Elephas maximus indicus: one gene and its partner. The protein of the gene in region 1 interacts with the protein of each later gene in a pairwise test. Links are inferred from orthologs where the notes say so. Each region holds a gene or a part of one and is shown in the gene's direction. Other genes may lie near its edges.

Evidence for each region.
Region 2: the proteins of MYBPC3 (region 1) and myosin-7 interact in a two-hybrid assay, tested with the Homo sapiens proteins (2 studies listed by IntAct). The link is inferred for Elephas maximus indicus from reciprocal best matches to the Homo sapiens genes MYBPC3 and MYH7.

The regions. Positions count from the first base shown.
Region 1 is NC_064825.1:102,748,169-102,751,768, reverse strand, and holds the start of MYBPC3 (myosin-binding protein C, cardiac-type), read left to right. Parts: upstream 1-1,296; 5' UTR 1,297-1,314; coding exon 1,315-1,339; intron 1,340-2,485; coding exon 2,486-2,752; intron 2,753-3,600. UniProt on the Homo sapiens protein: Thick filament-associated protein located in the crossbridge region of vertebrate striated muscle a bands. In vitro it binds MHC, F-actin and native thin filaments, and modifies the activity of actin-activated myosin ATPase.
Region 2 is NC_064828.1:34,792,909-34,796,726, reverse strand, and holds the start of myosin-7, read left to right. Parts: upstream 1-968; 5' UTR 969-1,009; intron 1,010-2,431; 5' UTR 2,432-2,486; intron 2,487-3,650; 5' UTR 3,651-3,658; coding exon 3,659-3,818. UniProt on the Homo sapiens protein: Myosins are actin-based motor molecules with ATPase activity essential for muscle contraction. Forms regular bipolar thick filaments that, together with actin thin filaments, constitute the fundamental contractile unit of skeletal and cardiac muscle.

The DNA.
Region 1 (3,600 bases):
TCCTCCCTGCGGGACCAATGATGTTGACCGTTACTGGGCCTGGCTGGGAGTGGGTCACATGGGATTTGCTTCTTTCTGTGTAGCAACTGATGTCCTTGAGGTGACAAACTGGGGGAGGTACTATCATGAGGGCAAAAGGTCACAGAGGAACAGTGGAGGAGCACAAGGGAATTCAAGACATCTGGCATTAATCCCTGGGACTTTTGCAAGAGCTACCTCTCCTCTGTGTGGTGGATTTAGATATTCACTCTGATGCCCTCACTGCAGGCTCACCCAACCCTTCCCTTGGGTAACACCAGCCCCCAATGTTGCCCCCTCCGCACCTGGCTGTGGAATAGGCCAACCCAAGGTTCTACAGCCTGAAGCCACCCAGGCCCCGTGAGGTGTGATAATATGGGCCAAATAATAACAGAAACATTCATTTAGCATTCCTTATATAAAAAAAAAAAAAAAAAAATTTTTTTTTTTTTTTTATATACCAGGCATGGCTCTAAGCATTCCTATTTGTAAACACGTGTAACAACCCTATGCTGTGGGTGGTGTTCTCACTAGCCCTTCTTGACAGATGAGGAAACTGAGGCTCTGCAAAGTTCAGTGAATGGCAGAGCCAGGACTCAGGGGCAGCCCCGCTGCCTCAGGGTCTGTGTACGTGACTATGGCCTCTCACGGTCCCCCAACAGCTCCTGCATTGTCCCTCATGGCCCCTCACTGCCCCACACCACCCTGCACAGCCCCTCGCTTCCTCTCATGACCCTGTGCGGCCCCTTACTGCCCCTCACAGCCCCTCATGGCCACACATGGCCCCTCATGGCCCCACACGGCCCCTTGCTGCCCCTCATGACCCTGCATGGCCCCTTACTACCCCTCATGGCCCCTCACTGTCTCTCACGGCCCTTCACAGCTCCTCACTGCCCCTCATGGCCCTTCATGGTCCCTTACTGCCCCTCACTGCCCAGGAAGATGCCTGGCAAAGGATGCATTTGAACCATTGTGCTCAAGAATAAGGCCCTGCACTCTTCCACCGCACAGTTTACCTGTTAGACAGACACACAGACAGGGTTTGGGGTACCTCTGAGGTTGCATTGGGGTAGGGGGAAAGGAACAGGGACCAGCCAGGAACAATGTGGCCCTCACCTTTTCCCCATAGAGAGACCTCAGCTCCCTGGAATTTGTCTATATTTAGCCAGTGGCTGGGCAGGAGGCAGATAAGGAGGGTCTGGTGAGGGGGAGGGACCCTTATATAGCGCGGGGGGCTGATCCCTGCTCAGTCCTTCAGACTGTACCTGCTTGGTGCCTGGTGTGACTTCTCTCAAGATGCCAGAGCCCGGGAAAAAAACAGGTAACTCCAGGTTTGGGGTCAAAAGGGCTTTAGTGTAGGGGTAGGGAGTGCTTGGTGGGGGGCGCCACACTTGGGGAGCAGACGAAGGAGCTAGTTCCTGAGGGGTCGGTGAGGACGAGGCCTCTGAGCCCCAGGACAGAGGGGAGGATCCTCCTGGGTCCCTTTTTGATGCTCAGGTTCTCTTTCCTCATCCCTCTGCTGAGAATAAGGGGTAAACCCAGGGTCGGGAACACAGAGAGATGACAGAATTGAGGCAGGAAACCCCAGGGCTATCATCCCACTCCCAGGACCCAGAAAGACCCCTTCCTGCCCCTGCCCTCCTCCTTCTGCAGCAAAGTTGGGCCTGGGCTTGCCTTTTGGGAAAAGACCGCTGCAGGCAGAGCCCAAGTTTAGTCCAGACTTGAGCCAGGCTCATCGAATGCCCTTGGATAAGTCTCTACCCTCTCTGGGTCTCAGTTTCCCCATCTGTACAAGGAGGGCTTGGACCCAGTGTCCCTAAGAATCCTACCAGCTCTGAGATTGCCTGCTTCACGATCTGCACCCCTGTGTGCCCCATACCAGGCATGGCCCCCACGTTGAGGGCACTGCAGCCCCTCTGCTCTGGGATAGGATGGTCAAGAGGCCCCAGAGCCCAGGCCAAGGGCAGAGAAAGTCACAGCCCAGGGTCCTGGTCCTGGCCTGTGCCTCACCAAGGTCGCCCAGGGCTGAATCCTGACCCCACCCCCAGCCACTTCTCAGGCTAGCTTTATCTCAGTTGCTGATTCTGAGCCTGAGGCCCTTGAAGGATAAATTTAGCCACATTCCAAGTAGACAGAATACCTGCCCCCTGCCAAGGGCCCCATATTAGTGTGGCGGGGGAGGCCAGGCTTATGCCCAGTGGCCCCAAGCAGGGAAGGCGGGGTATCCAGGGGACACATGCAGCTCTCCCACCTACTGGCTGTGTGATCTTGGGCAAGTCACTTAGCCTTTCTGAGCCCCAGTGTCTGCATCTGCAAAATGGACATAACTGAATCTACTTAGTAGAGCTGCTGGAGCATTAAATGAGGCAATGCTTGAAGTACTTGTCACAATGTTGACAAGAGGGGCTGCAGGGGCAGGTGCACGGGTGAGCCTGGGGGGCCCTGTAGCCTTGGTCTGGCCCCTCAGTTTCAGCCTTCAGCAAGAAGCCACGGTCAGCGGAGGTGGCCGCGGGCAGCTCTGCCATATTCGAGGCAGAGACAGAGCGGCCAGGAGTGAAGGTGCGCTGGCAGCGGGGAGGCAGTGACATCAGCACCAGCGACAAGTACAGCCTGGCAGCCGAGGGCAGGCGACACACGCTGACAGTGCAGGACGCAGGCCCCGCCGACCAGGGGTCCTATGCAGTCATCGCTGGCTCCTCCAAGGTCAAGTTTGACCTCAAAGTCATAGAGGCAGGTAAGACCCTGGTCAGCTGTTCGTGAGGGGCAGCCCGGCCACCTCTCCATCTGCCCTGGGAAAAGAAGGTGCTGTCTCACGTTCTTGCCTTTGCTTTGGCTGTGCCTTCTGCCAGGAAGGCCCTTCCCCATTTTCTGCAGCAAGACTCCTGGGAGGGTCCCATGTGCCCTCCCCGGCCTGCTCCATTGTGGGGGCAGGGAAAATACAGAGACAATAAGTGCCCCAACCTTCTGGGAGACCCACTGGGGAGATGACCTCACATGGATGACAATTGGGAGAGCTGTGTGTCTTGGCAGGGGATGACCGGGAGTTGTAGGTGTAGAAGGAGGCCCCAGCCCAGCCTGGGGAAGGAGAGGAGGGATAGAACCCAGAGCTGTGCAGAGCAGACCCACAGGGAGGTGAGGACAGTGTCTGTCAGGGTGAGGAGATGTGTGACGAGGGATCCTGGCTCAGTATGAGCTTCCCATGAGAGGAAAGGGGGAGCAGTTGTTGTTTATTTGCTGTTACTAGGAGCCATCAAGTCAATTTCAACTCATAGTGCTCCATGTAACAGAGTAGAGCTGCCCCATAGGATTTTCTAAGCTGTAATTTTTACAGAAGCATATCTTCATGTCTTTCTCCTACGGAGCTGCTGGGTGGGTTTGAAACGCTGACCTTGTAGTTAGCAGCCAAGTGCTTAACCTTTGCACCACCAGGGCTCTTTAGGGGGAGTGAGGAGGACCAAATATGGCGGGAAGAGGAGAAATTGAGTTTTGGGCACCTTCATCTGAGGGAGGTGCCTGGCAGGCGATGGGTGGTGGGTCTGAGGCTCAGGAGAGATGGAGGAAGGGAGTCCTTGCATTTACAGA
Region 2 (3,818 bases), on another chromosome or scaffold:
ATAACTCTAAGCAAGGCACTTCCCCTCTCCATAACATGATGGGGTTGGACAGATCACTAAAGGCTTGTCTGCAGGGGCAGATTAACCACTAAGCAAGGTTCGCACAGGCTTACAGTGAGCAAGATGTGCACGGGCTTACTTGTGTCTGCCTACTAATATGTAGTGAACAAATTCATATGGGTTTCAGTGGTGAAACCCGTGTGAAATTGTTCACTAAAAGTTAGTAAGTAAACGCAAGTAAGCATACGAGTACCCTGCTTGTCTGGCTCGGAGACTCGGTGACCTCAACACATTACCCTGCTGATCCAAGGAAATTGGTACTGGAGCCAGAGTCCACATTTCTAAGCTCCCTGATTGTTGTTCTGGCCTCTCAGCTGGGAAGTCTCCTTCCAGCTGCCCCAGCCTAGCCCCCCACCCTGGGGCCATGCCCCCAACCCTGCCCTACCTTCTCTGTTGCTGACAGCTAGCCCCCTCCTATCTCACGGTGGGTGCAGGAACCAGACTAGGGAAGCAGGGAGGACACCGTGGAAGTGAGGCCAAGCCAGCACTGGGGGGCGGGGGGAACCTGAGGGGCAGCAGCATCAGGGGCCAGGATAGCCCTACTGAAGGGCCAGGTCCGTGCCTGCCCTGAGTTCATGGTGGTCCTGGTCAGTTCCCTCTCCTGCCAGCTGTGGAATGTGAGGCCTGGCCTAGGAGATATTTTTGTTGCACTTTGAGCCACCCCGCCCCCTGGAACTCAGACCCTGCACACTCCATGCCATAACAATGACGACCACTTCCAATTGTTTCCTAGCTTGGGGGGGGAGGGGGGAGCACTGTTTGGGAAAGGGGGGGAGCCTGGGGGAAATGCTTCTAGTGACAACAGCCCTTTCTAAATCTGGCTAGGCACTGGGTGCAGGTGGGGGTGGAGGCGCCCTGCTGCCCCATATATACAGGCCCTGAGACCTAGTCTGGCCCCACAGCCTTCTCTCCTATTCTCTGTGTGTCTCTCTCTCCTTGCTGCTCTCAGGTAGGAGCGGGGAGTTGGAGGCCTTCTTCTGGGATAAGGTGGCTCCAGGTTTAGGAAGAGGATCTTCTAGGAACAGCAAGCAATGTGTAGCAAAGATGGGATCAGCTCCTAGGGCTTCACGCAGAGTACCTGGTCATTGAGCATACATGTTCAGGTCTACACACACATATATGTGCCACAGGAATGTGGGGGCTCGCGTGTTACAGTGGAAGATGTTTGTATTGGAGCATAAGGGACCAGGATGTGTTAATGTGTTAGAGGTATGGTGTGTCTGTGTGTGTGTGTGTGTGTGTGTGTGTGTGTATGCATAAATGTTCTGAATGTGATGAAGGGTACGTACCTGTAAGCACTGGAGCTGTCTGCCTAAGATACAGAAATATCAAGTGGGAGATGTGTGTTTATGATCATGTCTGAGGATAAGCAGGTTCACTTGGGGGGAGGAGGAAGAGGATGTCCAAGAAAGATCATACAGGAAGCATGTATGTTAAATGCTAGTTCTGTGGAGGTCTGGAATATATAAATACCCATGTCCAGGCATGTGGAGGTGTTTGTGTGTGCATCTAGGGGTGGTGGCTGTTGCAGGGTGTGCACATCCTGCAGAAGCAGCTCACACACACAGCAGTATGCATGTCCCAAGTCTTCGTATACTCGAGAATATACAGCAATGTGAGTCTATGTACTCATATTTAAATGTGCACATCTGTTTTTGAGGCCAATATGGCAAGCTGGTTGGGACTTGTGTGTGCAGAGGTATCAGGAAGTAAGTGTATCTTTGTGTGGGATGTGTGGGTGAGTAGTGACATGTGCATTCACGAGAGGACATGTGAAGAGTATTTGACTGTGTGATGGATGTGTCTGTGAGATGATGCCCACAGTGTCTCCTCTCTGAGAATGTCAACATTGTCTGACAATAAACTGGAGACATGATAGAAAAGAGCTGGCTTTGGAGTTATGAGACTTAGACTCAAGTCCTTGCTATACCACTTATTGCTAAGAGTTCTTGGACACGCAACTCACTTAACCTTGATTTCCTCATATGTAGAATGGGCTGATGGTTCAGTAAGAGAATGTGCATGACAGTGCTTTGTAGACAATAAAGCAGTGAACAAATATGGCCATTAGCTGCTTCTCAGGTGGCTCAAAGTATTACTAAATGGGTATAGGCAAGGGTGGGGCTGTCTCCCACGAATAAAGAGAGTTAGGGCTCAGAGTTGAGTTGACACCAGGAAACTGTTAGAACTAGTACTTGGGGAATAGTGTTCAGAAAGCAGATGGGACCAGAGAAGCTGACCACCAATCTCAGTCTGTTTTCAGGACTGAGGGGAAGGAGTGGGTGCTGAAGGCCAGAGCCAAGGAGACGCAGAGAGATGGCATTGGCAAGGTCGGGCTGTAGCCTACTGACACTGCCTTCCTTTTCTCCAGGTCCCTGCAGGTCTGGGCCCCTTTCTTCATCTCTAAACATATCTGAGAAGCCAAGGTAAGAATTGCTGAAGATGGGGATGGGAGAATCTGGGGAGATTGGCATGAAAGCCTCAAAGCCAGGTTATGGAATTTTAGTTTTGGCCCTGCCTTAGGGAGAATGTCTTTTTATTGTTGTTGATTTGCCAGAACTCTTTACGTATTCCTTTTTTTAATTGTATTTACTTTATTGTTGTTGGGAATATGCACAACAAAGCATACACCAATTCGGCAGTTTCTGTGTGTAGGGTTTAGTGACACTGATTACATTCTTCAAGTTGTGCAACCATTCTTACCCTCCTTTCCTGAGTTGTTCCTCCCCCATTAACATAAACTCACTTCCCCCTAAGCTTCCTGTCTAATCTTTCAAATTGCTGTTGTCAATTTGATCCCATATAGATAGTTCTTAAAAGAGCATAATGCTCAAGGCAGACCTTTTCTTTTTTACTAGTTAAGCTAAATTATTGTTTGGTTTTAAGAAGACTTCAGGGGGTATTCTGGTTTTAAGGTTTAAAGATTATCTCAGGGCAATAGTTTCAGGGGTTTATCTACCCTCCATGGCTCCGGGGAGTCTGGAGTCCATGAGAACTTGAAATTCTGTTCTGCATTTTCCCCCTTTGATCAGTATTCTTCTACGGAATCTTTAATCAAAATGTTCCATAATGGTAGCTGGGCACCATCCAGTTCTTATGGTCTCATGGCAAAGGAGGCAGTTCATGGAGACAATTAGCCACACATTCCATATCCTCCTCCTATTCCTGACTCTCCTTCCTCTGTATCTCCAGGTGAATAGAGACCAGTTGTTGTGCCTTGAGGGGAGAATGTCTTGACTACTAGGAGCTCCTTACCTGTGACTAGGGAGGGGGAGTCAGGGAAAGATGAAGGTCAAAGAGAGAATATAGTCAGATTCCTACCCCCATAAGAAACCCAGGGAACTCTTCCCTCCCCTAGGAGAGCCCCAATGTGAACAAAAGGTAGCTGTCCTTCTACCCTGACAGGACTACTAGGCCATTCTTTTGGTTAAAATACAAGCCCAAAGAACAAGGGGCTCGCCAGTGACCCCTCCTGACTCCTGAGCATTGTGCTAGGTTGTGGGGCTTGCACTGAAGGGGAGAGTCCAGGGAACGGAAGAGGAGAGCAGACAAATAGCAGGGCATCTGTCTTCTTCTCTCGTACACTGCAGGTCTAGCCATGGTGGATGCGGAGATGGCCGTATTTGGGGCTGCCGCCCCCTTCCTGCGCAAGTCAGAGAAGGAGCGGCTCGCAGACCAAACCAGGCCTTTTGACCTCAAGAAGGACGTTTATGTGCCTGATGACAAAGAGGAGTTTGTCAAAGCCACGATTGTGTCTC